Macaca fascicularis: one gene and its partners. The protein of the gene in region 6 interacts with the protein of the main gene of each other region in a biochemical or structural test. Links are inferred from orthologs where the notes say so. Each region holds a gene or a part of one and is shown on either strand. Other genes may lie near its edges. The genes, in order: ERBB4, MAPT, DOK1, ERBB2, XPO1, ABL1 and ATR.

Region 1 (4,206 bases), on a different chromosome or scaffold from region 6:
ATGAAGAAAGAAGTCCCCGGGGCATTTACAGTTTCCATTGGATCACCTTAGTATGCGTGTTGCAATTATACCAGGGATGCACCCGAGAGTTTTTCTTTGTACGGCCCTTTCATCTGGATCACTTTGTGTTTTGAACAAGTGAGACTCGCCTTTGTGCCCCCAGAATTTCAAGTACAGAGTCACACACGGAACAATGGCACGCTAATCCTCGCGCTCTAAATGGGCTCACTTGTGGGTCTGACAATTCGCCCAACGAAACGAGAAGAGATGAGCGAGGGCGCGAGCTGGTGTCGCCTGAGACGAGGAAGAGGACAGCTGCAGAACTAATTTGGATTACATTCCTTGCAGAAATTCTGAAAAGGGCTTTTCGGCATAGCTCAACCCGGAGCCGCACAGTTAATACCAAATTGCTGCGGACTCGGAGCGGGGTCCCTCAGCGGCAGAGGCTGAACCAGCCAGCCCCCAGTAGGTCGCCTCGTAGAAATTCCTCTCGGCTAAGCCTGCATGTCGGTCGCCACTGCCTTTGAATGGGTCAATGTGTATAATCAACCCATTGAGGGAAAATATGAAGGGACTCGAAGTGGGGAGGGAGATAAAAAGAGATGTATCTAAGAGGCCGCTTGGAATGTCAAGTCCGTGTTGGTGTGATTCCGGGGGTGGCTGGAGCGCGGGACCTGGTATGCGTGAAGAATTTCGGAGTAATTGGGAGGGTGCAAACAGCCAGCACAAAACGCCGCACATGTGCCATTCGAAGGTCATTTTGAAAGCCTCGATGATTGTAACTTGTTGTTTACTAGGCAAAGGAGGCGGCGGCGGCGGGGGCGGAGCGGGAAAACTACAGCTTGCTGTTTCCTTGGTGAGGTCAGAAGGACACCCTCCGGGGGCCTAAAGCGCTCCCTATCGCCACTCCCGGGGGCTTTATCACCTCAAGCTACTTCCCACGCTCCAGTCACCATCCCCGAATGGTTTCAGAAATCTCCCTGGCTCTCCAAAAGGCACCCCTTGGCCGCATCAGACACCGGTCCTCCTCAGACCTCTCCCGTCCCACTTTCATCCCCAGGAAACTCAAGTGTCAGAAACTTTGAGCTTCCTTGCACTGCAGGTGCTGTCATTAGTCCTGCAAGCCTTGGCGCTCCAACCCCGCCGCGCTGCCTCTCGGGGTCAGTTAGCCCTTTGCCTGCCCAGGTACCTGGGGCTCGAGCTCTCCAGCAAGCAGTGGCCGCGCACCCGCCGCCGCCGCTTGCGCCTCGGGTGGATCCAGTGACCCGCAGGCTCGGCAGCCCGGCCAGGCAGTAAACAGACAAGTTTGAAGGACTCCGGCCAATAGCAAGTTGAACTACAGGAAGAACTCTTCCAGGAGCCAAACACGGCAACCGACGGGAAGGCCCGGCTTCTGGCTCGAGTGTGCCAAGCCATTTTTTTTTTTTTTTAAGAGGTCATGCAGGCGAGCAAGCGCCCCTCAAGTCAATGGGGCGAGGGCTCCGGGAAGCCGGCCGAAGAGGCCCAGAGCTCCAGACCCCGGACCGAGGCGCGCCCGCCCGCTGCACTCTTGCTGCCCGGGCTGGGTACGAGTCGCGTCTGACCCCACAAGGCTTGGGCGACTGGGGGCGCAGCGGCCGCCGGCAGCACACACAGGTGCAAAGCCCGGGTCTCTGAGCGCCACTCTCCACCGCCCTTCAGGCTTGGCGCGGGAGAGGCCCAGCCAGCACCTCCCCAGGACCCCGGCCCTCCGCGGCCCCGGCGGTGCGGGTTCCTCCCTCGAGGGACCAGACAGGGACAGGAGAGTCTCCTCTGACTGGGGATTTGGGTCTCCCATGTCCCGAACAACAGGCGCCACCAGAAGGGATCCCGCTTAGGCTCCCACACAAAACGCTCGGGAAAGAAAAACAGGGGGTTAAGGAGAGAAAAAAGAGGGGCTCAGAGTGATTTCTTCACGATAAAGCACAGGCACACATACAGGGTAAGTTTCAAATGGAAAGAGGGGCGACCGAGAGCCCAGGGAAGAAGTCCCGGTCGAGCGGTCCCTCCACGCCTCCCGGGATGGGTGAAGAGGGCGGGGGAGCCACTCAAGGCAGCCCCGCCGGCGGCGGCAGGTTCGGCGACCGGAGCGCCAGAAGGAACCCACCTGACTGAGAATCGCTGGGCTGGACGGTCCCCGCCGCCACGAGAAGGCTCACCCAGACCCAAAGTCCTGTCGCCGGCTTCATTTTTTGGAAGTCTCAGATCCCGTGCTGACAATTACATGTCCAAATGGCATATCCCCCTTTCGGGCACGCGGAGGAGATCCCCCAGCCGGGCGCGCGTGGGGGCGCGAGGGGGGCGGGCGCGGCGCGCGCGGTGTAGCGACTCCCAGGGCGGGCGGCCGAGTCCGCGCCCGCGGGTCCAGGGCCGGGGCCCGAAGAGGGGGCGAGTGTGCGTGTGTTGGAGTGTGCTCGGTGTGTGCGCGTGGCGGTCCGGGCCGAACTGTGCAGTTATTTCCCCGCGTGAGCCTTCGCTTGCTCGCTGCCTCCTCACTTTCTCTCTCTCTCACTGGTTGGTCAACAATAAAAAAGGAAGGGGGGCGAAAGGTTTCCAAAAAAAGTTGATTGCAAAGAGGCGGTAGGTTTCCGGCCTCTCCCCGCAGCCGGGCTGTGTTCTGCTCCTTCTTCAGTTTCCTTGCACCTCCAGTCCAAATGGGGAGGGGAGCGGGGCGGGGGGAGCTTCTCGCTTCTCCCCGGATCCCGTCCTTCTTTTTCCTGTCAGCTTTCCTCACACTTGTCCGGCGGCTGCGGTAATTAAAGCTCCGAGCGTCATTTCCAACGCTCCGCGGTCTCCAGCTGCAGCCCACAGAGAAATTAATAAGACTCCAGAAAAAAAAAAAAAAAAGAAAAAAAAAAAAAGGTGGGGGGGGCGGTGGGAATAAAACAACCCTCCACGCAACCAGGCAGGCTCTGCTCAGCCGCGCAAACCCCGCCCATGCTCTGACCCAACTAGCCACGCCCTTCTCCCCCGCCCCCCGCCCCAAAGGGAAATCTCATTGGCTCAGCCACTCCCCAAAATCCTAGGCCTCCGGAGTTGGGAAAACACCTGTCAGGGAGAGGGAGCCGCTTGGTGGGGGCAGGGGAAGCTGGATTTAAAGGGCTCACCGAAGCCATGCACTGAAGCACTCCTCTTCCCTCCCTGGCAGAGGCCTGGGACAGCTGGCCCGCAGAGTGGACAGACCATCGGAGGGGCGCTTACAGAAAAGATTTTTTTAAAAAACAAGTCAGCATTTTCTCCATTGTCCCACGGTGCTTATCTACAGACAGGACTTTCCCTAGAAATAAAAGAAAAGTCAATGTTGCTTTCAGCAAAAAGCCTCCGCCCGCAGCACTCTGCCACTCATGGTCCACAATTAGAAAGTACTTTAAAAGTGTGCACAGTAAGTAACTAGTAGCCCCTGAGGATTAGGTGGTGGTAGGGATATAATCACCGCCCCGCCTCCCGCCCCCAGTTATGCCATCTCTCCGGTTATTCCCACATTTCCAAACTGACCGACATTGAGCCAAACTAAAATTTCACATTTATAAAGCCATACCCTTTGATTTTTAGATTTTATGTTTTTTTCACCTTTGGAGTTCATTCTTATTAAGCAGATTCTAGTCCAAAGCCACTGATTTAATCTTAAAGGGCTAGAAATTGTCTCAACCTGAAAGTATTTAAGGAGGCCACATCAGAACATAATTAACCTTAAATGATTCTGCTTCTTCTACAGTAGACCCAGCTTTAGGCCCTTTCCTTGTCCTCACTCTGCACATTCATGGTCCCTAATCCGGAGGTCATTGCTAGTTATGAAAATCTCTGACCTTTTCTGAATCTAAAATATTCTGGGACTGGGTCATATCAATGTTCATATCCCTTGCCTTTTACAGCTCTGAAACCGCACCCTGGCAAGGACCAGAATCTCCTGGGGGTAGTAAGTTATTAGTTACTATTTGTACAGGCATTCTATGTATGAATCACTTTCCTTTTTTGGTTTTTCTAGAAGCAGCAAATATATAAATAAAAAGTATCAGGGGAGCTTAAAAATCAAACCACCCTGCCTTTCATTTGAGACCTGGATCTCCATTTCCCACTCTCTTATCTATAGCTCCATCCCTTAAGAATTTCCATGGAGCTGAGAACAGATAGGAAATACAGATGCCTGAAGCCTGAAGCTTTCCCTTTCTTAGACCCACAGCAAATAAC
Region 2 (4,264 bases), on a different chromosome or scaffold from region 6:
GCCCCCTCCTTCCCCGGCCTTGCCCACCGCAGTGGCCCAACCAAAGCGCCAACACATTTCAAAATGGAGCGAAATCGCAGAAGCGCGGATTGTGCTTTGTTCCCAGCATTGGGCTAAATGCGCTCATCCCCACCGGGCTCCCTTTCCTCCAACGGCAGCAGGTGACATCTCTGCTCGAGATGGCAATAGGCAGCCTTGACCGTGGGCTCCCCTTTTCCAGGGCCGTCCCGAGACCCTCACTCCATCTGGAACCGGAATCCCGCGCCCAGCTCTGTCTGGGGGCGAGGGAGGAGAGAAGATGCTTGAACTGACCCCTGAGCCGCTCTGCAACCCCTCGCGGTGGCTCAGCCATGCGGGAAGCCTCGCAGCACTCAGGCTCCAGCCCTCGACGCCACCGTCGAGGAAGGTCAGCCTGGTCCCGGGCGGGCTCTAGTTCCCCAGTCAAGCCATTCCCCGGAAATTCAGATCAACCTGGGCAGCCCGCGTGGAGGATTCAGCTCCTAGATGCTCGTTCGTCTCAGAAGTGCGCCCCCCCGCACCAGTTTTCAGCGATAGAATTAACCAGAAAACGGCGCGTACCAGGTTCATCACAGGAGGGCGAGGCTCGGATGCCTTGGCCAGGAGTTCTCCTTGCAGCCCCAGACTCGGTTTTGGGGGTACGGTGAACTTGGATACGGGTGAAATCCCGCATTTACGATAAATAATATTAATCAGTACAGACATAATATTAATAAAAATACACCCAAGGGCTGCCTATCTGCGGCCGCCAGAGGCCAATTAGAGTCTCAGGTGCAGGGGTTGGGGGCTTCCTCCCGTGTCCTCCAGGAGGCCAACTGGGCGCGGCCCCGCCTACCCCAGGGTCCCCAATCTCCCCAGGGAAGGGGTGGGGCCAGCCCCAAGGTCCCCTCTCCGGACGCCTGTGGTTCCCATGGCAATTCCCCCTCTGTGCCCCCTCCAGTGGGCTCAGAAAAATGGGTGTGGCCGCAGCACCAGTAACCTTATGCCCCCTCCTCACATTCTCCCGCCAGGCGAAGCAACAGGGCGTAAAGCTGGAGAGGCCCCACCGGGGCTCCCCACCCATCCCCGAATGGGTAGCCAGCGTCCCTCGTTGGGCAACCTGGTGTGGCTTGGCCCTCAGGACACTCGGGGTGTTGGGAGGGGCGTGATCCCTCTGCCGCCGCCCGCAGCGCAGCACGGAGACTCGAATCCCATCCCTTCAGAAGCTTCCTGGCGCCCGCAGACTCCGAGACGAGGCTGCGCGCGGTCACGCCCGTTCCATGCGTGCCGGGGGTCGGGGGGTTGACTCGGGTTCGTCGACCCCAGCAAGCCTCGAGATCCAACAATGGGCTCGGAAATGAGGAACGAAAAAGGAAAGAGGTGCTTGGGGGTGGGGGGAGGTTGGCTAAACACCCTCAGAATAAAAGCCAGAAACCAGGGCTGGGAGCGCAGATCACGTAACCTCTACAGACAAAGCAAAGAGCCCCCGAAGAAGGTGCTGGGTGAACGCCCCCAGCGCTCACGCCCGCAGCAGCAAAACGCCAAGATTTCAGCGCTGATTGTCCCCCTCCCTTTAATGCCAGGCCCCGCCCTGTCCTACGAAGCCCGGCCACCCGGTTTGGCATGGCACCGTAAAGACGTGACACGCCGAAAAAAGATGGCACCTCGGGAGTGGGAGGAGGCACAGCCTATCCTCCCCCCTCCTCGCCCACCAGGATCCACACCCACTGCCGCAGTGAGGGGCGAGCCCTGCGCGCCAGCCCCGCGCCTCCGGCAGGGAGCGCACACGCCGGGCACCCTGCGCGCGGAGCGCTGAGAAAGAAACCCGCCCCGAGATGCACCTGCAGCCCCGCGCCCGTCAGTGCATGGCTGCTGCTGTGCCTGCCCGCGAGCGGGGACCGGCGGCCGCCGACTCCGTCCACATCGCCAGGCCAGGTGACCCCTGCCTTTGCGAGCGTGCACACTGGGATCCTCGCACTGTTCTCAGGCACGGCGCTGCTCGCGTCTCTGTGCCAGGCGTGCGCAGGGGGAAGGGCAACTAAAGTGACAGCGCCTGGACCCCTCCCCATCTCCTCGATTCCTCCCAGCCCCCAAATGTCCCCTACGGGTTTCTGAAGGAGGAAAAGGGGAGGGGGCCGGCCCCCGCCTAAAATCAGGGGCAGTGAAGGCCCTGTCGGAATCACTGCTCGGGAGGTAAAGGGAGGGGCGTGCAGGGAGTCAGTCATCTTTTCTAGAACCCGATCCACATCTTCCTTAGGGCTGATGGCGAACAGCGGCAGGGACAGCGGATTTCAGGTTCGGTTTCGGGGGTCGTTATCGGACCCCTCCCCCCCACGCACGCCCATTGCGGCAAAAGACTGCGGTCGAGAGTGAAGGGCAGCCCCCTCCCCCAAGTCACCGCCGCCGCGCCCCACCCTGCCGGCACGGCCTCCACCTGGGGTCGGCGCGAAGCGGGTGAAGACCCTCCAGCACACACACACGCGCGCACTCAGGCGTGCGTGCATCCCTTGCTCACGTCCCTTTCCAGGCCGCCCTGGCCCCAGCCCCCGAGCAGGGGAGGCAAGGAGGGGCCCTGCGGTCGCCCCGACCGATGCCCGGCGCACGAAGCCCCAGTCTGTGGAGGCTGAGGGCGAGGGGCGGCGGCGCAGGGGTGCACAGGGGCGGACGGCGAGGCAGATTTCGGAGCCGCGGCGCTTACCTGATAGTCGACAGAGGCGAGGACGGGAGAGGACAGCGGAGGAGGAGAAGGTGGCTGTGGTGGCGGCGGCAGAAGGTGGGCGGTGGCAGCGGCGCTGCTGTTGGTGCCGGAGCTGGTGGGTGGCGGTGACTGCGAGGGCGCGCGCCGGCGAAGAGGGCGCGTTCCCGAGGCCGGCAGGCGGCGCAGGCGCGAGCAGCGGGAGCGCGAGCCTCCCCAGGGGAGGGGGCGGGCAGCCCGGCCTCCGCGGGAGCCTTCTCCTCCGGCCACCAGTGGGCGCGCGCGAGCGCCCTGCCGCTCGGCTGTCCGGCGCCTCCCGGCTGGTTCCTCTCGGCGCTGCCCTTTCCCGGTGCCCCTCCCCCTACGCCTCAGGCCGCGGCGCTGACCGCAGCGCGCACGCGCGTTCCATGGCGCACGCGCACTCTCCGCCTCCCATAGCTGGAGCCTTTGTCTCGTTGGAGGGGTGGGTGTCTTCCTTCGGGCCCTGCGGGGTCGGGGCAAGGCCAGTGACTCCGCCAGTGGGTCCCCTGCCCCTTTCCTTTCAGTCAGCCTGAGGCGGTGTCCTCTCCTGGAGAGGTCCTGAGCGACCTTCCACGTGGCCAGCTCCCCAGTCCGCCCACCCCGACCCTCCGAGTCCCGAAATCGCCCCCCTGGCTAAGGTCGCTTTTCCCCAGGCTGCTTCCTTTCTCCTTGCTTTTTTCCCATCTTTTTTGTTACTGACCAAGGTGAATCCTTTCCTTAACAAATTCACTTAAAGCAAGCTAACTCAGTTACAATACAGTAGAACTGTACTTTAAAAAAAAGTATTTGGATCTATGATGTATGTAACCGTGACGCTAGAAAAGAAATCTTAAATTAGACCAAATTGAAATAGTGCTTAACACATCGCAGAACATTTGCACACACAGTTATTTGTATCACGTCTTTTGAAACATCTTTATGCTGTAAGTAGAGTTTGAAGTCTGAATGTTTAAGGGCCAGCTGGAGATTGTCCCCTGGAAGAGGCATCTCAGCCTGAAACTGACCAGTGGTCCTCATTCTACTGGTCACCCAGGCCCCAAGCTTCGGCCTTAGCTTGGATTTTTCATTTCCCCAACGTCAAATTTAAGCCCTGGCAGTGGGCGGATTTCTATGTATGGGGGTTTAGGGCAGCCGTCTCCTCCTAGGGAGATGGGAAGTTGTCTTGAAGCTCCAATTTGCATGGTTCTTACATTATTTTTTAAAAACCAACATATGTTATAGATTAATAGAAAAAGCAAGTAAAATGCTTTATTCACACTGAGTTTCTGGAACTGACCTTTTTCTTTCTTTCTTTTTTTTTTTATCCATATTAACTTTATTTTTAAACAGAGGGGCATATATCCAAAGAAGTAGGAGTGAGAACCACCGTGGGGGCTTGCTGAAAGCGATCTGCCCTAGCCTTCTGACTTCAGAATGTCTCATGAGCCAATGGCCTGGGGATGGAACTGCCCCTTGATGGTGTACACCTTAGAAAAGTCAATGGAATTGACCTTTTTTTGGAGACAAGGTCTTGCTCAGGCTGGAGTGCAGTGGCACAGTCATAGCTCATGG
Region 3 (4,153 bases), on a different chromosome or scaffold from region 6:
CCCCTCTTTTTCTGTTCACACACATAAACTTCTTAAACCCAAGCTGACTTTAATGAGAATTTTAAAATTTTTAAATAGGTCTCTGGCAAAGAACAATGCAGGAGTAAGAATCCAGGCACAGTCCAACATCTCCCTGAGGCCTCCACATGGGCCCCTCAAACTGCACCCACTCTGACCATGCACCACTTTCCACAGACCTGGTCCCGCAGCTGTCCCTTCCTTTGGGGAAGTGGAGAAGGGACAGCTTTAGGAGGATACAGAGCCCATCCCTCAGCCTTGCCATCTGCCCCACTTCTTAGGACTTCCTGGGATTGTCCTTCCTTTGACTCCCCTACCCTCTGGTCCCCTGGTCTCATACAGCACGGCCCCTCCCACCTTCTGGCTTCTGCTGGTTCTAACCATTTTCTTAGATCCCTAGTGCCACCTCCCCATGGTCCTCCTTAGCCACCTCAGCCTTGCCCTCCTTCTCAGGTAGAGGCCTCTGACTTGACCCCAGTCTTGTCAGTCCCTACTCTAGACAGCTCACAGTCTCAGCTCCCTGAGGCCCCGCTTTTATGGACCTGGCTGTATAGGGCTGAGTTGTAGCTTTTGCTGCCACTGCCAGTTGCAGTACCAGGTTCAGGCTTGGGAGCAGGGAGGGGCTTTGTGCTCCGAGGGGGTGGCACAGCATAGTCATCAGTGGCAGGGTTGTAGGGGAGCTCATAGCCCTCCTCCTTCACCCGGGCTTGGCACCACCATGCATCCTTGGGCTCCCGAGGCAGATCATAAAGGCCCTGGGGAGGGACTGGGGCCAAGCCTTCAGGTTCATCATAGATGGGGTCCTCTTTGGGGTCCGTCAGCTTGGCCTTCAGCAACTGCTGCTGTGCATGCTCAAACAAGTCCCAATAGAGAGGTTTCTTCCGTTGCACTCCCTCTCCTGCCCGGGCAGGGGTGCTGTCCAAGGGGTCTGAGTATAGGGAGTCCTGGGAAGGGCATGGAGCAATTCGCAAGGAGTCTAAGGGCTCAGCGTACAGGGCTGGGGGGCTGTCAAGGAGCTCTTGGGGGCCAGGTGGGGAAGGCAACTTCCCCTCTGCCACCTCCCCTTCATGGGAATCAGCTCTGAGAACATCGTGCCCCTGTCCGGCCTTTCCCTGGGCCTTCTGCCGGTGGATGGCAGTCTCAACTGCCTGGAAGATGTCATTTCCCTGTGCTGTCTGGAAGGTGAAGGTTCCAGGGCCGGAGGGGCAGCGGCGGCCGGCCTCGAAAGAGAACATGACCTGAGGAGGGTAGAGAGGGAAACACATTACCAGGAGCCATCAGAGGAAGTGAGTCACAGGCCTGCACTAGTTAGGGTATCTACAAAGAAGAGACCACCTGGGGTCACCGGGTAGGCAAGAAAGGGGGATCCAAAGGTCAGCGCTTCCCACCTTCTGTCCTGCCCCACCCCTCCCACAGCTGCCCAACCCAGGAAGCCCTCCCGGACAGCCCCTGCACCTTGTCCCGGCCATAGCGACGCAACAGAGTGTAGGGCCAGGACAGAAGTGGCTCCAGTATCTGACTCTGGGCCCCCATGGTCAGGAGAGTCAGCCTCTCAGTCTCCACCCTCAGCACGTAGGAGCCATGCAGGCCACAGCGCTCGGCGGCCTCAGTCCTCTGCACCGTTACCCAGAATTGGGATCCTGGAAGGCATATACGATTAGACAGCTGCTGGGGGAGGGGCGGGGGCAGCAGTGGGGACCCAGAGGACTCATGAGCGTAATGTCCAAGCACTCACTTGGAAGCCAGATCTCAGGGCCTTCCTACTTCCCCATGGGCCCCTGGGTATCCACCCACTTTCCAAAGGCCCTCCTCCTCACTCCATCCCTGCCCCGGCTTCTTAGGCGTCTACCTTCCCAGGTGGGGCTGTACAAGGAGTTCTCCAGCATCTCCAGGGCAGAAAGCTTAGGTGGGTTATCTGAAGGCGCCAGAGTCCAGCTGCCTTTCTGTAGTAGAGAGAGAGCATCGAGAAACCTGTAATTTTCTCAACGGGGAGTGGGTGTCGGTCTGAGCCAGCCCCATTTCTCTGCCTCTGTAACTGCCCCCACCCCACATCGCCGCAGCTCCTCACCGGAAAGGCGTTTCGGCACAGCGTCTGCACCCAGGCTGCACTGGACGGCGCGTCGGCCGCCAGCAAGTGCGAGCGCTGAGCAGTGTCCAGGCGGAAGGCAGTGGCGCCGGGCTCAGGCGGGGTATCCACGGTAACAGGGGCCACACTCACACACTCAGCCAGACGGATCACCTTGCAGTCCAGGCGGCGCGAGCTCCCTCGGCCACCCCCAGAGCTCGACCCCTTATGGTCAAAGAACTCGAGCCGCGCTACGCCGTGAGGACTGGCCGGGTAGAGCACGGCCCATGTCTTCCTCCACCTCTAGGGAGAGAGTGAGAGGGCTGGAGAGTGAGTGGCGTGCGCGGGCGGCCCGGGTCCCGACGGGGAAGGAGGGAGCGGCGCAGGTCGATTTGGGGTCTGGGGCTTCCAAACGGGGGGGCGAAGTTTCCCAAGGAGGATGCCACTCCGTCTCCCCAAGACCAGAACCCCGAGACTAGAGACGCTTCCTGGGAGCGTACAAAGCAACTTCGCAGGACAGTCACAGGCTCTCCAACTGCCCGCGCCGCGCTCCAGCCTGCTGCCCACCTCTCCCTGTTTCTGGGCTCTCTCACCCACTACTAGCCCGGATAAGGTTAGGCATCCGTGCCCCAGACTACCTTGGTCCCAAAGCGCTGACTCTGCAAAAACAGCGGCCCTTCCATCACGGCTCCGTCCATGGCCCCCGGCGGTTCCTTCCGCGCTTCCTGGCCCTGGGGCGGGAGGCGGGGCGGGAGGCGGGGCCGGGTTCCCTGGAGGCGTTTCCGCCCCTCCCCGGCCCCCACCGGCGGCCGCTGGGGGGTCGCGGTGGGGTGAGGGAGAAGAGCGAGAAGGAAGGGTGGAGGCCCCCGGATTAGCCTGGCGCTACCCAGGCCCCTACCCGCCGTCGTAGGGGCGCGCCGGTAGCTCCACCGAAAGTACTCGGTTTTGGCGCGAGGACCCTGGCCTCTGGACGTGGTGGCTGCGCGTGACGTCATATGTCCAACGTGACATCAGAGTGAAAGCCATGACCTCACCCCGAAAGCCCCCGGAGGCACCGGAGAGACCCACACGGGCCTCCAGAGCTTCAGTTCCCCTGGGCGGGCCCGCCCCCAGCCCCGCCCGAGCCGGGCTGTTTACACTCCGCTGACCCGGGACTCGGAGGGAGGGCTGGGACTGAACCGCTTCCCGCCACCACCGGGGACGCCCCGCCGCCCGGCGGCCGCTTGCATGTCAGCTCCCTGACCGCAGAGGCCTGGCCTCCATGCCGCGGGAAGAGAAAGCTTCTTTGAGCCGGCCGGGAGGGCCGGGGAGGGGGAGGGGGCGCAGCAGTGGCCCGCTCCACAGGGAGGGAGGACCCAGAGGAGGAGAGGAGGGAACTGGCCGGGAGGAATGGAGCGAGAAGGCGGAATGTGGGAGGGCTCAGGGGGATGTGGGAGGGAAGAACGGAGAAGGGGGAGAGAGGGGGGTCTAGTCTCCCCTGGCCGATCTTTTTTTTTTTTTTTTTTTTTTGGAAGTCCTAGGACTGATCTCCAGGACCAGCACTCTTCTCCCAGCCATTAGGGTCCTGCTCGGTCAAGGTAGGGGGAGTCACGTTAACCGCAGAGGGAGAGAGTAGGGGATGGAGAGGATGTGGAGGGACCAGAGAAAACGGTGGTGTGGGATGGAGTCGAGGGGAAGCCACCCAACTGAGAGTTTGATTCTTGTCTAAGGGCATGTGAGACAGAGTACAGAGAGGAGGCACATACCGGAGGCGGGGGCTCCGGGTGTTCTGAACAGGGCCACCAGGCGCGCCCTAAGGGAGGGGGCTCCTCCGGGAGGCCCTACCCCTGGGTCCCCAAGCCAAAATGTCCCCAGAACAAAGCTGCCTTGTTGGATTGATTGTTTGGGTTGGGGGAAGCATGTTGACGGGGGCTTGCTGTAGAGGGGCTGTTCTCAGCCCTAGGCAGAGAAGGCCTTGGCTGAGGAGCCATAGCGCCTGGCCTCCGGTTGCCAGGTGACAGCGATGGTGGTGTTGGCAGGAGGCTGGGACAACCCTACCCCATCCCCCACCCAGCCTTAAGGCCTGGCCCT
Region 4 (3,538 bases), on a different chromosome or scaffold from region 6:
AGCAGTCAGTGGGCAGTGGCCCCTTGCAGCGGGCACAGCCACCGGCACAGACAGTGCGCGTCACTGTTGGGCAAAGGGCAGGATGAAGGCTGAGTGGCACCCTGAGCACCAGACCCTCATCAGCATCACCTTCTAGGGAGACTACCTGCCCCAGGGAAGACATCCCAAGCCTGTTATCCCACCCCTCCCATGTCACCCGTATGACACCTGCATTCCACCCAGCCCCGGTCCTGGCCCTCCCCTTCCCTGACTCCAGGCCTCCCTGAGACTCACGGCTCTGACAATCCTCAGAACTCTCTCCCCAGCAGCGGGAGCCCTTACACACTGGAGAACAGGGGTGGCCTGAGGACAGAACCAGGGAGAGGCAGTGAGAGAGATGTCTAACAGTGAGAGGACGGGTTAATAACGGAGAGAGACACAAACAGCAGCAGAGGCCACGAGGCCAACTGCACAGTGAAGGAGGGACCCAGACAGGCTGAGAGGCCCCCAAACCACAGGCACAGCCTAGAAGCAGAGGAAGACAGGACAGAGAACCCCAGAGATGAAGAGGCCCAGAGAGATGGCAGGAGGGACAGAGAGGGAGGAAATGGGTGTAGGCGGCTGGGGCAGTGGCGGGCAGGCACTGGGTTGTAAGTCGGGAGTCTGGGGCTGGGGTCAGGCTGTCTGAGAGAAGAGGCAGCAGGGAGGGGCATGGCTTACAGGCCCGAGAGCGGTTGGTGTCGATCAGTGTGAGAGCCAGCTGGTTGTTCTTATGGAAGATGTCCTTCCACAAAATCGTGTCCTGGTAGCAGAGCTGGGGGTTCCGCTGGATCAAGACCCCTCCTTTCAAGATCTCTGTGGGGTGAGCAATGATCAGGGGACCCTTTCCCCTTCTGTCACCTTCTGCTTCCCTTGGGGCCCTCCTGCCTTCTAAAAGAGGAGCAGGCCTTTTATACAACCCCAGATTCCCCAGGGAGGAGAGAAAGATATCGTCACCGTCTTTGAGCCCACCACCACCACCCCCGCAACATGAACAAAGCGAGAGCCAGGGAGGAGTGAGTTGTCCATGCTACGTCCAGATGCTCACGTGGACCGCAGCTTTCTCCTTCCCTCTCACCTCTACTCCGGACATGTTGCTTGGTGGTTAAGAGACCGTGGAGTCTGAAACCCAGCCCCATCACTCACATCTCTGCAAGCCTCAGTTTTCTCATACGTAAAATGAGAATAACACTGATTCTTTCCTGACAGGACTGCAGTGTGACTGAAATGGGCCATGCGGGCAAAGCACCTGGCACCCAGACTCTGGGGCAGAGTCAGCTCCAGGGCCAGCAAACAGTTACATAGGCTGTTCACTGTACACTTCACTCAGCCAAGTGGGGGCAAAAACCCAGCCTGCATTCTCATGATTGAATTCTGTGCGCTGACGTAAGCTGCAGCTTCCTAGGAAGAAGGGGAATTTTTTCCAGTCTTCTCAGGGTGTCTTCCCAGGCTCTGCCTGCGTCTGCCCAGAAGGGACACCATTTCTAATGCACACAAAGCCTCCCCATGGTTAGCAGTGGCCCTGGTCAGCTCTGAATAACCAAGAGAAGGTTTCAATGACGGCGAAGGCCACCTGTGAGGCTTCGAAGCTGCAGCTCCCGCAGGCCTCCTGGGGAGGCCCCTGTGACAGGGGTGGTATTGTTCAGCGGGTCTCCATTGTCTAGCACGGCCAGGGCATAGTTGTCCTCAAAGAGCTGGGTGCCTCGCACAATCCGCAGCCTCTGCAGTGGGACCTGCCTCACTTGGTTGTGAGCGATGAGCACGTAGCCCTGCACCTCCTGGATATCCTGGAAGGGGGAAGCAGGGTGGGGCTGAAACAGGGACACTGCCACCCCCAGGGCCTCCCTGAGGTTCCCCAGTACTTGGAGATCTTGGGCAAGGCCCCCAGCCACTGAGCAGTCCTGTTCCCTCTTATATAAAACGATAAAATGGAGATAAAGATCACGCCCCACCTTGCCTCACCAGATTCTTACACGATCAAGAAAGATAATGGTGGGGGGGCACTTCGTAAACTCTGAACAGGTACCCCGCCCTCTCTGCATCTCAGTTTCTTCATCAGTGAAAGCAAAGGCCTGGATGGGATGGCGTCTGCAATTTTTTTTTTTTTTTTGAGACGGAGTTTCGCTCTTGTTGCCCAGGCTGGAGTACAATGGCATGATCTCGGCTCACTGCAACCTCCGCCTCCCAGGTTCAAGCGATTCTCCTGCCTCAGCCTTCCCAAGTAGCTGGAATTATAGGCATGTGCTACCACTCCCAGCTAATTTTATATTTTTATTAGAGACGGGGTTGCTCCATGTTGGTCAGGCTGGTCTCGAACTCCCGACCTCAGGTGATCTGTCCACCTCAGCCTCCCAAAGTGCTGGGATTACAGGCGTGAGCCACCATGCTCAGCCGGCGTCTGCAATTTGACAAACCAAGCACATGGCCCCACTCCAGGGTCCATGGACACAACCCAGCAGGTTGGTTTCCACTCTCTCCTGCTCATAATCTTTTCATAGACATTTCTCTTTTGAGCTTCACAATTGCTCCCAATATACAGATAGGGAAACTGAGACCCCGTGAAGCTAAGGGGGTGTAGGCCACATTCATAGGGCTCATCAGTGGCAGAACTGGGCCTGTAATCCACCTTTCTCACCAGCCCTTTCTGCTGCTGTAGATGGGAGAAGGATAGTGGCTGGGGCAGGTGGACGGGGGACATGATCATGCTGGCAAGAGAGCACAAGATTTAGCGGAAACACAGACGCATCCCATCCAGAGATGACCTCGGCCAGCCACATTAGAGAGAGAGTCAACTGATTCTGCAGTAAAATGAATGGGGGTTAGACGTTAGAAAGGACTTCCTGGTTGAGAAACCACAACAAAAGAGGAAACAAAGGGCAGGGCACCTTCTTCTGCCACCCACCTGTAAACAGAGGGCTCAGCCCAGCTGGAGGCAGGGCCTGGCTGGGTTGCCCACGGGCCTCACCTGCAGGAAGGAGAGGCTGGCATTGGTGGGCAGGTAGGTGAGTTCCAGGTTACCCTGCACCACCTGGCAGCCCTGGTAGAGGTGGCGGAGCATGTCCAGGTGGGTCTCGGGACTGGCAGGGAGCCGCAGCTTCATGTCTGTGCCGGTGCACACTGGCAGGAGGGAGCAGATGGGTCAGAGGACACGGGCGGGGGACCTTCTTGGACCTGGCCTCCCCACCCAAACTCACTCCCAGAGTCATTTCATCTCAGACAGGGAGAAGGCTGACTGAAGGACCCCTCCGCCGACATCCCTTGCACACTGCAGGTTTAACAGCAGGAGAAAGCTTGTGTGCTTGGGAAGTAGAGGGATTTCAGGGGAAAGGCGCCTTCTGACTAGGCCCACCCTGTGCATCCAGAGGCTGCCCCAGCGTGCCAGCCCTGTGGAGCTCACCCGCCAGTACAGGGTGTTGGCTGGCAAAGAAAGGCTTCCTTTGTCCCAAAGGCACAACTCAGGGCCAAGGGGTAAAAATCCCCCAAGAGAGGCGATGACGAATCCTGAATCTTCTGGATGCCC
Region 5 (3,538 bases), on a different chromosome or scaffold from region 6:
GAATTATCCACATAATGGCCAGGTGAGGTGGCTCACACCTATAATCCCAGCACTTTGGGAGGCTGAGTCAGGCACATCACCCTGAGGTCGGGAGTTCAAGACCAGCCTGACCAACATGTAGAAACCCTCTCTCTACTAAAAATACAAAATCAGCCAGGCATGGTGGCGCTTGTTTGTAATCCCAGCTACTTGGAAGGCTGAGGCAGGAGAATTGCTTGAGCCTGGGAGGCAGAGGCTGCAGCGAGCTGAGATCATGCCATTGCACTACAGCCTGGGCACCAAGAGTGAAACTCCGTCTCAAAAAAAAAAAAAAAAATTATCCACATAATTACTGAAACAAAAGCCATTACACTTCCCTTACCCTAAATCATATTTATAATCCCAAATGGTAAAAACGAACACAAAAGCCTTTTTGTCCATATCTACCTAAGAATGAAGTAAAATATTTTTTGAGACGGAGTCTCGTTTATTCGCCCAGGCTGGAGTGCAGTGGCGTGATCTTGGCTCACTGCAAGCTCTGCCTCCTGGGTTCACGCCATTCTGTCTCAGCCTCCTGAGCACAGCTGGGACTTACAGGTGCCCGGTGCCACGCCCAGCTAATTTTTGTACTTTTAGTAGAGACGGAGTTTCACTGTGTTAGCCAGGATGGTCTGGAGCTCCTGACCTTGTGATCTGCCTGACTTGGCCTCCCAAAGTGCTGGGATTACAGGCGTGAGCCACCGCGCCCGGCCCAGATTTTCAGGTTTTTTTTTGAGATGGAGTCTTGCTCTGTCGACTAGGCTAGAGTACAGAGGCTCGATCTCGGCTCACTGCAACCTCTGCCTCTTGGGTTCAAGTGATTCTCCTGCCTCAGCCTCCTGAGTAGCTGGGGTTACAGGCATGTGCCACCAAGCCCAGCTAATTTCTGTATTTTTAGTAGAGATGGGGTTTCGCCATGCTGGCTAGGCTGATCTCGAACTTCTGGCCTCAGGTGATCCGCCCGCCTCAGCCTCCCAAAGTGCTAGGATTACAGGCGTGAGCCACCACGCCTGGCCCAGATAATAAAATGTACAAAGCCACACATAAAAGCACTTACGGATCACACATACATGTTTAAAGGCTTGAATTCAATATATTTGTAAGGAACACAGTCTTCTTAAATCCCATGAAAACTTTAAGAAAAAGTAGAATACTTACTTTGGTTGCCTGCTGGATTATACTATCCCACACTTGATTAGGGAGTAACATGTACTTTTCTATCAAGTGTTCTTGTACTGTTTGATCTGTTTGTGCACCAATCATGTACCCCACAGCTTCATAAAACGTATGAACCTATTTTAAAAAGCAGACATTTTAACTTTTATGTTCTTATACACCCTAATAAGGAAAACCACACACAAGCAATTCACACACAAGCAACTCAAATATCTTGAAACTGATTTTGGCCCAGGTGCGGTGGGGATCACTCCTGTAATGCCAGTACTTTGAGAAGCTGAGGCAGGCCAATCACTTGAGTTCAGGAGTTGCAGACCAGCCTGACCAACGTGGTGAAACACCATCTCTTCTACAAATACAAAGAAATTAGCCAGGCATGGTGGCAAGTGCCTATAATTCCAGTTACTTGGGAGGCTTGAATTGCTTGAACCTGGGAGGCAGAGGTTGCAGTGAGCCGAGATTATACCACAGCACTCCAACCTGGGTGACAGAGGTAGACTCCATCTCAAAACAAAACAAACAAACAAACAAACAAACAAAACCCAAACCAGGCATGGTGGTGGCTCATGCCTGTAATCCCAATACTTTGGGAGGCCGAGGCGGGCGGATCACAAGGTCAGGAGTTTGAGACCAGCCTGACCAACATGGAGAAACCCCGTCTCTACTAAAAAGGCAAAAGTCAACTGGGCGTGGTGGCACGCACCTGTTAATCTCAGCCACTGAGGAAGAGAATCACTTAACCCCAGGAGGCTGCAGTGAGCAGAGATTGTGCCACTGCACTCCAGCCTGGACTCTATGATAGAGGGAGACTCCGTCACACACACACACACACACACACACACCCCCCCAAAAACAAAAACAAGAATCTGTCTCACTATGAAAATTTAATCAGGCCGGGCATCGTGGCTCACACATATAAAATAATTTTGGGAGGCTGAGGCTAGCGTATCGCTTGAAGCTAGGAGTTCAAGACAAGCCTTGGCAAAACCCCATCTCTACCAAGGGGGGAGAAAAAGGCTAGCTGGGTGTGAAGGCGGTGCACGCCTGTAGTCCCAGCTACCCACGAGGCTGAGGTGGGAAGATCACCTGAGCCTGGGAGTTCAAGGCTGCAGTGAGTCGTAATCGTGCCATTGCACTTGAGCCTGGGCAACAGAGTAATACCCTGTTCTCAAGGAAAAAAGAAAGTTTAATCAGAAACACTTCTATTGGATCCAACAGTTGCCTTCCTATTTCCACTGATACATACAGATTGATACAGGTGTTACTTTCTAAAAATAACATATGCTCAGTGCTTAACATACCTGTTGAGGCTGAAGATCACAAATAATAGTGTTAATGTTGTTCAAAATTTCATCAATAAATGGCATCACTTCTCCAACCTGAACCTGAACGAAATGCCTACGGCATTTTTGGGCTATTTTAATGAAAGTATCACAAGCCATGTCCTGGACTCCATCATGGGTCTCTAACAAGACAAAAACATTCATTTATTTTGTTCAATAAAAATAAAAACAAAATATAGTAAAGAAAGAGATTTACCATGCATGAATTCGAACAGCTTGTTAACTACAGTCTTCAAAAATTTCCAGTGAGCTCTCAAAAATCGTGGATATTGACCTACTATGTACATGATATTTGATGCAATAATAGCTTTATTATCTTTGCCTCTTTTCTGTTCACATAATCCTAATAGATCCTGTAAATAAGACAGATTTATATCATTTATTGTAACAACATAATACTTATTTAGCAATTCTAATTCATACCTATCCCTTGCATACCTTTATAACAGTAACAAGAAATCGTTTTTCATCCTCTTCATGCATTGCTCCACTAATGGAGCCTATTGCCCAACACAATGTATTCAAATTTTTCCACGACCACTCTGTACCATTCACTTGATTGTGAAGCTTCTCTGTCATTATTCTTTCTGTATCTACATAATCCAGATGAGTAAGATAAACTACGAAAAAAAAATTGTTTCAAATGCAAATAATGAGCAAAGAGTTTTACCAATGAATACCATGTTTAGAAAATATTTAGAAACTACAGTACATTTTCTAAAATATATTTCTACCCCAGAATAAATTTATAAAGGTAAAGATTAACAGTATTTATTAACTTACCTAATGTTTCCCTCATATTCTTATACAAATTTATGGAATCTGTATCCTTCATGAATTCTCTCACAACTTCTCCTTGATCATTCTCTACAACCAATACTTCCTCTGGTTTAGCCATTCGACTAACCATTAATAAACGGACCTATATTCAGCAATAAATCAATCAAGAAAAAATCATTAGATCACTGAAATCATTAGTGTAGAAGCTTAGTTAAAAACAA
Region 6 (4,157 bases):
ACCCCTGAAGGGATATCAGGGACACGTAGGGAACTACACTGCTTTCTACACCAGCTTCCCGGAATGAGATTACTGGGTCACTGGCACATACATTTCAAATTCTGATAAGTTCCGCCAAAGCTCTCCAAAAAGTCTGTACCAATTTTCACTATGTAAGGTGCATGATCATCACAAGTTAAAATGTAAATAATTCACTTTTTAAATCCTGAATTTGGGAGCCATCATAACACATGACCATATTGGCTTGCCTAAAAACAAAGCTAAAATAGAATTAATGTTTCAAGGCAAAGTAAAATCCAAGCACCCGGATTTATTTAGATGAAGTGAGTATTTTCTTGTAAGAAAGTAAAACTTCAACCGTCAAATGCAAGTTCATCCAACAGAAGCCTTTGTTGATTGCAGTCACCCAATGTTAAGAAGTATTTCTGAATGAATTTCAAACTATAAGCCACTGGCACACTTGATACGTTTGCTTATAGGATAGGTGGGCTCAATTGATTTTTTAATATAAAGGACACAATCTGAAAAATGGCAGGCTGCAACAGTACAAACAGTAACCCTAATTAATTGGTTATAGACATTAGTGTAAGCCGACCCTTAGCTTTAACTTCACACAGAATTACTGGACATGAACAACATAAAATGTGCTGTCAGCACTCAAATGCCAAATATGTTCATAAAAATGTCAAAGACAACTTTTATTGGCCCAAATGTCACTCTAAACAGGGAGAAGAGAGGATGAAAGCTTCATCAACGAGGAAGGGATTACTCCTATGGAAGGTAAGACAGAAGCTGTGTATCTAAAATTAATAAGGAATGCTGCCTCCCCACTTGATTTTTCCCACATGGCTCCAAAGTGAGTATTTTCAAGTCCCACTTATGATGGAAAAGGTCAAGGATATTAGCATCAACCAGTATCTATGATTCTTAACTTTACCAGAAAAACAAACCACTTTGAGAATATGATAAAAGCTCTCTGTAGACAAAGCAGTAAAGAATCCATGCATGTCAGAAGAGCCCTTGACTTCGGTGAGAGCAGAATCATAGAACCATGCATCCTAAGAAACAACTGAAGTCCAGCCCCTCAGGAAACTGAAGCCCTGGAACAGTAAAATGGCTTGTCCAAGGTCAACAGTGAATTCGCAGAGGAAGCAGGCAAGAAATAAGCAACTCAAATAGATTCTGAATAAAGCCGAACTCACGAAGTAACTTTTTCTTATACAAAGTAAGTTTCACCAGAAACTTGAGAGATAACTAAAGTAACAAATGTATTAAGTGGAATTGGAAGGAACTGTCGCAAGTACTATTATTCAAAGTTCCTTGAAGGCCTAAGATGAACGCATGAGGAAAATAATGAGCAGAAATTTTGAAAAGCACTCACCATGTTCCACAAAAACATTGCAGTGTGGACCCCCATGCCTCGATGATTCCTTCTTCCCTGCTCCTTTGATAAAATGCAGGGCAGGCAAGCTTGGCCTTCTTTGGTCCCCAAGAACTTTTCCAGGCTGCTGCCCCATAAAGTAATAATGGGTACCCCTTTCCAGAAGAGGGTTCACGATCTTCCAGAACGGTCAGAGAGCGTAGAGGCAAATGGCATATACGCAGGATTTCACATTCGCTGCATCTCCACAAGTCAGCAATTGAAGTCAATCAGAGAAAGACCTCTTCCATAACAAAAGGAAGCACTTTTTTTAGGTTGACACTTGCAAGCAGGAGTTCCAATTATTTTCGCAGTTTATCAATTTTAAGTAATGTAATTGCAGTGTTACCCAAAAGTTTCTTGACTTTTTTTTTTTTTTTAACGGGCTGAATAACAATTTCTTTTCAAGAAGAAAAACCTAAGCAGAAATATTCACAGGGGATGCTGAAAAGGGTCAATAATGCTAGTCATTTCAATTCCCACATATAAAGGAAACGCTGATCGTCTTTGGCTACTCCTCCAGAACTTTTCCTGTGGAAGTCACCAACCTCCTATCTTAGCTTCTTCATCTTCCAACAAATTTCCTGCCGAACTAGTGGCCGCTCTCGCTTCTCTGCTCTGCTCTCCGGAAAAGGACACGGGTCACCCAGATTTCAGCGAGTTTGCCCTCGACTCTGACGAAAAGGAATGCATTGCCAGCAACTTTTAAGTCCGCTTTTTAAAAGGCCTGTGGAACCAATCCAGACTTTTCCTTTGCATTAAAGTTTTTGGCTGACCTGAGACTAAGGGGGCCGTAGGTGACATTGGAAGAAGTCAGGGCATTAGAGGCTCGCGGGAGCCACCTTGGGGGAAGGGGAGACCCCTTGACAGCAGGGAGGGATTTGAATGAGAGGCTCTGTGGCCAAAGTTGGGGCCGGGATCCGGAACAAGGGGCGGCTCGGGGCTGAGGGAGGCTGCCGGGGCGCGGCACGGGCGGCTTACTCCAGGGCGACGCTCTTCCACGCCTCGGAAAACGGGGTGTCCCAAGCTGAGGGTAACAGACCCCCAGTGTCCCAAAGCCGGGGTGGAGCTGTAAGGGACGAAGGACTCTCGCGGCCCAGACAGCGGAAGGCGGACGCCGTGTAGAGGAGGCCCGGCCGCCTCAGCTGCCCCAAGCCCGGGGGTCTCTGCCTGAGACACCCTCTCCCCCGGCCCCGGACGCTGACACCACCACCGCCCTCAGGCAGTCACATCCCCAGAGCTCCGCCGAGGAACCCAGCCGCCCCCCGCCGGTAGGGGCCGTGGACAGCGGAGGGGCTCCTCAGTCGCAGCACCCGGGAACCGGCTCCGGCTCCAGCGCTGCTCAGGCACAGACACCGACCCCCGCGGCCGCCATGATGGATTACGAGCCGCTCCACAACGAGGCCAGGCCCCGCCCTCCGCCCCGCCCACGACGACGTCCGGAGCCCGCCTCAAGGGGACCCGGATGCCCTCAGGGCCGCTTTCCCGGGACACCGCCGCGCGTCCCGGCTCTGGTCCCACTGCCTGCGAAAGCCGGGCCCGGCACGACCTTTTAAATGTGGCTTCTTTGAGCGCTAGGTGAGTGATAAGGAAGCACCCGCCTCCTCTGTATTGTCATTGGCCTCCGAGAATCCGGGTCGGGCCTCTCTCCCCCGTCCCATTGGCCAATGGGGGCAGTAGGGCTGGATCTCCCAGCCAACCGTGTTCGGCGCAGTCCGCGGTGCGTCCCGGGAGTTGTGGTCCCACGGCACCCGCGCGAGTCCTCCCGCACCGAGACTCCTGGCCCGGACCCCGACCGCTGGGCCTCGCCCCGCCCTCCTGGGACCTGGTGGACTCTCGCCGGCCGAGCGTCGGCTGGACCGCGTCTCCCCGGCGCGAGTAGTAAGACCGGGACAAAGCGAGGGAAAAACTGCGGATTGGATTTTCCTGGAACCGGAATCGGATGATTTCCTTCAGTCTCTAAGGGAGAAAATGTGGCTTGCTCCTAGAAGCCAAGGTTTTTGGTGCCTCTCAACCCCTTCACCCTCCAAAAAGCATAAATATTAGAACTAGCGGACGGGGCGCGGTGGCCCACGCCTGTAATCCCAGCACTTTGGGAGGTCGAGGCGAGCGGATCACCTGAGGTCGGGAGTTCGAGACCAGCCTGACCAACATGGAGAAACCCCTTCTCTACTGAAAATACAAAATGAGCCGGGCGTGGTGGTGCATGCCTGTAATACCAGCGTCAGGACGTTGAGGCAGGAGAATCGCTTGAACCCAGGAGGCAGAGGTTGCGGTGAGCTGAGATCACACCATTGCACTCTAGCCTGGGCAACAAGAGCAAAACTCCGTCTCAAAAAACAACAACAACAACAACAACAACAAAAAACAACTAGCGAAGAAACATACAGAAATAGGGAAAACATCCGACATGTTGCTAACGAATTCAACTATTTATTTGGGCATTAGGAGGCTTACTCATTACAGAAAAGCCATTTGTTGGGTTTGCCAGGCGCTATCAGATGTTTGCCCTGGAACGAATCTTTAAGACTATAAACATTTCACAGGTGAACACGTATTCACATGAAAACATCCTCTATATTAGCCGAGAAAATGCCCAGATGGTTGGGTTTAGCAAGTCTACAGAACCAATGACCTAGATGTGCCAAACCCACACCTGATAGAATCCATGTTCTGCGACTAAAAAGCACCTTGGTTCCTATTGGCTCTCCATGTCTCCCCAGAGGGATGCATCTGA
Region 7 (4,245 bases), on a different chromosome or scaffold from region 6:
TGAGTGGAAAATCTATTTTAAGTAGGTAAAAGTAGAAATGGAGAGATCAACTAAGTTTACTGTAATACTTTAGGTAAAAAATTCTGGTGGTAGCAGTGGAGACAGTGAAAAGTGTTAGATTCTAGATGTATCTTAAACATATAGTTGTCAGAACTAACTTAAGGATTATTAAGGGACAAGGGGAAAAAACCAAGGATGACTCCTAGGCTTTTGGTTGGTATATTTACAGTAACATGGGAGAAGGAACAAATTCAAGGGCAGTAAATCAGGCGTTCTGCTTTGCATATGTTAATTTTCACTTCCCAGTGTGGATGTTGAGTAAGCAACCTAATATATATCTCTGATCTAGAAATATAAATTTGTGAGTTATCAGCATATGGATGACATTTAAAGTAATGAGATTAGGTAAGATTACTTGGGAAGAGAGCACAGATTAAAAGAGGGCCAAGGACATAGTCTAAAAGCACATGGGAGAACAGTCAAGAATGACTTCTAGATTTCTGTTTTGGAGAAATAAGTGAATATGGTGCCATTTACTGAGATAGCTCTACTTCAATGAATAAGAGAAAAAAAATTTTTTTTTAATTTAAAAAAAGAAAGCTTATGAAGGTTAGGACATGTGGAGAATTTGTATTGGATATGCTGACTTAACTACACATAGGACACTCAGTGAAACTGCCAGTATACAGTAAATATACAATTCTATAGGAGACATGATTTGGAAAAACATATTAGGAGTCATCAAATAGCAGATTATGGTTGAAGGCAGGAAAGTGGAAAGGTCATTTGGCAAGACTATGCAGAGCAGAGTGCTAACAGCAAAAAAACAATAGGACAAAATTTATCTGAGGGACTGAGGAAGAGCAGTCCATAAATTAGAACACTAGTATCTCATTTTTTTTCAGTAGTCTAATTGCCACAGTCAATTAAAGGAAAACGTTTTGGAAGAAAAGGCCTTGAGAGCTTGAATCTGAAACCTAGCTCTGGTATCTGCTAGCTGTGCCTTTGGTTCTTCAACTTCTCTGACCCTTTTTCTTAAACAGTGGTAACACTTATTCCATTCTATGTCATGGACATACTATGAAAATGGATCAGCTTTTTTGATTCAAGTAGTTTTAATGAAAAAGCCATGACAATTAAAAACTATTAGACAACTCTCTATGGGTCAGTTTTTCTATTCTTTCTCTTGGCATAGCTACAAATAAATGAAAGGTAACATAAGCTCTACTGATGAACAGACTATATATAATCCAAGAACCAATTATTTTTATTAACAGGACCCACGGAGGAAGACGCAAGAGGGAAGAGAAGTATTAACCAGCTAATTCTACTTTAAAGCAAAGTGGGAAAAACATACTGAGCTTCACAGTGAGCCTGAAAGATGAAATTTGTAAACCACCTTCCTACAATGATCACTTTTCTTCATCTTCTTTTAGAGATGTAGAAGTTAATTTGTAAACTAGACACGAAGTATATTTGCCGCAGATAAAAAGTGGAAAAAATTCATACACTCAAAAATAGTGACGCAGTTAGGACAAGAATGATCCCTTCATTTATCCTCTTATTCATATATTGAAACTAGATTATTTGGATGGCCAACCAGTGGAAATGAACACAACTGCGCTGCAAAAAGAAAGAGAAGTAGCTATCCCATTGGCTTAATGTCAGCTTTGACTTTGTGTGGGAAGTTTTCAAACAGTTTAAGAAACTGGGAAGCAGTTGTTCCAACTGATAATTTAACTGCAGTAGCACCACGAGCTCATTTATTTCTTGTTCACAGGTTAGAATTAAACAAAACAAAACAAGCCCTACCGAGTCTTTAGGCCTGGTTCAGGGAAGCCTGCCTGTGTATTGATGGGGTGTGGCAGCCATCAACCCCTCTCCCTCCTTCTTTTGGTAAGATACTGGTTTTCACGAGGTTTACAGACAACAAGCATTTGCAAACCAAATATTAAATCGTCTCCAAATTTTGGCAACACTCTGTGCACGCTGAGATTTTGTGGACCCTGAGGTCTATCTCTCCAATTTCTGACTAAAACAACGGATCGGGAACTGGACGATCAATACGAAGGAGGTCACATCTTCAGTACGTACTGTGACTTCAATTCAAAGAAAAAAATTGCCTGTTCCAGCAAGTGATGTCACTTGCAGAAAATAAGAAGCGGTGATTTTCTTCCAAGGACAATTTGGGGACAAAATGTAAGGCTAAAAACCAATTCCTCCACGAGTGATCACGAAGAACAGAACCTGATGGGTCAAGTCCCTCGTCTAAGGAAAAAGATTTTCGAGAAGGAAATGAGTGTAGAAAAGTGACCAGAAAGCGATTATCAGGCACTCTTCCCTCCAGCTGCAGGAAGCAAACTCTCGGGTCGGGGCTAATTCTCGGGTCGGGGCTAACACCCACGGGCTGCTGCGGTAAACCAGGGCCAGCAGACGCCTCTCTCCCCTACGGACCGGCTTCCCGCAGGTTTGTGGCGACCGCCCCATGTCCTATCAACTGGCACTCTGAGGGAGAAGCGCCCAAATCAGCCACGGAGCATCTCCACAAGGGCCGCAGCGCGGACTTAGGGGATGCCAGCCATGGCGCGGCAGGGGAGGGGAAAGCATGTGAAACCCCAGCCGGGACCGGAGGAGGAGGAGGATGCAGGACCCAGGCTGGGCCTACCCCTACCTGCCGAGCTCCCGCAAGGCGGGGATCATGGAAGCCAGCTCCACACCATGTTCCCCCATGCTGGGGCTGCGCGGCACTCTTCAACCACGCCGACTCGGGTTCCCGGTGTCTCCAAAGCTACCGCTGCCGGAAGAGCGCGGCGCCCGACGGAGCCTTGCGGAAGCCAAAACTCCTCCCGGAAGCCGCTACTGGCCCCGTTTGCCAGGCCCTGCGTATTTTCTGCTTAGGACCCGGGGGAAGCCGGGAAGCCGTTAGCGGGCGGGGCAAGCGGGCTGGCGCGCGTCGGTCGAATTTCCCGGGTAGCGTCAGCCTTCGTTCTCAGCACCCAGCGAGCAATGTTCGTGAAGCTTTCGTTTTGAGCGGCCAGACTCTACTGTTCTCAAGCCTGGGAGGCACAGCGAAGCAACATCCCCGGATCGGGGGAGAATAGGGCTTGAGGGCCGCCAGCCCAGACTCTCGCTTCACAAATGTGAGAACGATGACAGCGAGTAAAGGCCAAGAGTAGACTCCAGGTTTCCCCAGAGTAACGCTCTCACATTTTAAAAGTTCCTCAGTTTCCCACCGCTCTTGTCCCTCTTTCTGAGAGATACAGGCCAAAAGGTGGGCTCTCCCTGTTTTTTTCCTTCTAAGCATTCTTTTTCAACTTGAAGTCACTCTTAGGTTTCCTTGAGGACCCTACCAACCTTTAATATTTAAAAATGGGGTTGGTTTATATTTTTGTCTCATCAAATCAGCAGCAGTACTATGTGTGGAAATGCCACCATTACGGGCATCCACAACCTGTGATTTAATTTTTAAAGTAAAGCAATGGGTTTTGGCAATACACATTTTCTAGCTCAATTTATTGGAAAGATGATCACTATAAGAGATTGTTGACATGTCGAAGTTAGGTAGTTAATCACTCAAAGTCATGCAGTATGTTTACATTTGTTCTTTGGTACATGAGGATAGTTAACTGATACAGGATCTTTTAAAAAAGTGATGTAATGACAGCCAAATATGCTCTTGCCTCAAGAACTTTCCATTTGCTGTACTCTGCCTTGAACGCCATTCTGTCATTGCCCCTTTTCCTTCATGTGTTTGCCAAAATAACACCAAAGAGCTTCATATAGACTAACATATATACACACTCTCTCTCGCTCTCTTTTTTTTTTGTTAGAAACATTGTCTTACTCTGTTGTCCAGGTTCTAATGCAATGAATGTTGCAATCATAGCTTACTGCAGCCTAAACCTCCCAGGCTCAAGCGATTCTCTCACTTCAGCCTGGGCTCAATTGATCCTCCTGCCTCAGCTTCCTGAGTAGCTGGGACTACAAACATGCCACAACGCCTGGCTAATTATTTTTTGTAGAGACAAGGTCTTGCTATGTTGCCCAGGCTGGTCTCAAACTCTTGGCCTCATGCGATCCTCCCACCTCGGCCTCGGCCTCCCAAAGTACTAGGATTAGAGGTGAGAACCACCACACCCGGACATACTATGTTATTGTTTCTCTTCAGTTACAATGTAAGCTCCTGGAGAGCAAGGTCTTGTCTATTTCGTTAACTATCAGATACCCAGGACCTAAAACAGTGCC

What was found.
Region 1: the proteins of ABL1 (region 6) and ERBB4 form a complex in vitro, tested with the Homo sapiens proteins (2 studies listed by BioGRID and IntAct, with this or other methods). The link is inferred for Macaca fascicularis from reciprocal best matches to the Homo sapiens genes ABL1 and ERBB4.
Region 2: of the proteins of ABL1 (region 6) and MAPT, one has a biochemical effect on the other in vitro, tested with the Homo sapiens proteins (2 studies listed by BioGRID). The link is inferred for Macaca fascicularis from reciprocal best matches to the Homo sapiens genes ABL1 and MAPT.
Region 3: the proteins of ABL1 (region 6) and DOK1 form a complex in vitro, tested with the Homo sapiens proteins (5 studies listed by BioGRID, with this or other methods). The link is inferred for Macaca fascicularis from reciprocal best matches to the Homo sapiens genes ABL1 and DOK1.
Region 4: the proteins of ABL1 (region 6) and ERBB2 form a complex in vitro, tested with the Homo sapiens proteins (3 studies listed by BioGRID and IntAct, with this or other methods). The link is inferred for Macaca fascicularis from reciprocal best matches to the Homo sapiens genes ABL1 and ERBB2.
Region 5: the proteins of ABL1 (region 6) and XPO1 interact in a test that uses a peptide from one of them, tested with the Homo sapiens proteins (2 studies listed by BioGRID). The link is inferred for Macaca fascicularis from reciprocal best matches to the Homo sapiens genes ABL1 and XPO1.
Region 7: of the proteins of ABL1 (region 6) and ATR, one has a biochemical effect on the other in vitro, tested with the Homo sapiens proteins (2 studies listed by BioGRID, with this or other methods). The link is inferred for Macaca fascicularis from reciprocal best matches to the Homo sapiens genes ABL1 and ATR.

What each region holds. Positions count from the first base shown.
Region 1 is NC_088386.1:108,380,040-108,384,245, forward strand, and holds the start of ERBB4 (receptor tyrosine-protein kinase erbB-4), read right to left. Parts: upstream 2,828-4,206; 5' UTR 2,208-2,827; coding exon 2,126-2,207; intron 1-2,125. UniProt on the Homo sapiens protein: Tyrosine-protein kinase that plays an essential role as cell surface receptor for neuregulins and EGF family members and regulates development of the heart, the central nervous system and the mammary gland, gene transcription, cell proliferation, differentiation, migration and apoptosis.
Region 2 is NC_088390.1:67,473,572-67,477,835, reverse strand, and holds the start of MAPT (microtubule-associated protein tau), read right to left. Parts: upstream 2,829-4,264; 5' UTR 2,696-2,828; exon of another isoform or gene 2,255-2,695; intron 2,009-2,254; exon of another isoform or gene 1,753-2,008; intron 1,243-1,752; exon of another isoform or gene 1,118-1,242; intron 1-1,117. UniProt on the Homo sapiens protein: Promotes microtubule assembly and stability, and might be involved in the establishment and maintenance of neuronal polarity.
Region 3 is NC_088387.1:47,388,234-47,392,386, forward strand, and holds DOK1 (docking protein 1), read right to left. Parts: upstream 2,817-4,153; 5' UTR 2,782-2,816; coding exon 2,722-2,781; intron 2,387-2,721; coding exon 2,087-2,386; intron 1,962-2,086; coding exon 1,868-1,961; intron 1,659-1,867; coding exon 1,474-1,658; intron 1,257-1,473; coding exon 531-1,256; 3' UTR 33-530; downstream 1-32. UniProt on the Homo sapiens protein: DOK proteins are enzymatically inert adaptor or scaffolding proteins. They provide a docking platform for the assembly of multimolecular signaling complexes. DOK1 appears to be a negative regulator of the insulin signaling pathway.
Region 4 is NC_088390.1:60,768,456-60,771,993, reverse strand, and holds part of ERBB2 (receptor tyrosine-protein kinase erbB-2), read right to left. Parts: intron 3,136-3,538; coding exon 2,984-3,135; exon of another isoform or gene 2,921-2,983; intron 1,806-2,920; coding exon 1,592-1,805; intron 835-1,591; coding exon 700-834; intron 343-699; coding exon 274-342; intron 64-273; coding exon 1-63. UniProt on the Homo sapiens protein: Protein tyrosine kinase that is part of several cell surface receptor complexes, but that apparently needs a coreceptor for ligand binding. Essential component of a neuregulin-receptor complex, although neuregulins do not interact with it alone.
Region 5 is NC_088387.1:60,431,894-60,435,431, reverse strand, and holds part of XPO1 (exportin-1), read right to left. Parts: intron 3,460-3,538; coding exon 3,321-3,459; intron 3,158-3,320; coding exon 2,976-3,157; intron 2,891-2,975; coding exon 2,734-2,890; intron 2,660-2,733; coding exon 2,496-2,659; intron 1,312-2,495; coding exon 1,177-1,311; intron 1-1,176. UniProt on the Homo sapiens protein: Mediates the nuclear export of cellular proteins (cargos) bearing a leucine-rich nuclear export signal (NES) and of RNAs.
Region 6 is NC_088389.1:13,167,392-13,171,548, forward strand, and holds the start of ABL1 (tyrosine-protein kinase ABL1), read right to left. Parts: upstream 2,804-4,157; 5' UTR 2,225-2,803; coding exon of another isoform or gene 2,126-2,224; 5' UTR 1,518-2,125; coding exon 1,382-1,517; intron 1-1,381. Other genes in the region: uncharacterized protein, read right to left, coding at 2,126-2,224. UniProt on the Homo sapiens protein: Non-receptor tyrosine-protein kinase that plays a role in many key processes linked to cell growth and survival such as cytoskeleton remodeling in response to extracellular stimuli, cell motility and adhesion, receptor endocytosis, autophagy, DNA damage response and apoptosis.
Region 7 is NC_088376.1:45,385,452-45,389,696, forward strand, and holds the start of ATR (serine/threonine-protein kinase ATR), read right to left. Parts: upstream 2,820-4,245; 5' UTR 2,731-2,819; coding exon 2,672-2,730; intron 1,482-2,671; exon of another isoform or gene 1,278-1,481; intron 1-1,277. UniProt on the Homo sapiens protein: Serine/threonine protein kinase which activates checkpoint signaling upon genotoxic stresses such as ionizing radiation (IR), ultraviolet light (UV), or DNA replication stalling, thereby acting as a DNA damage sensor.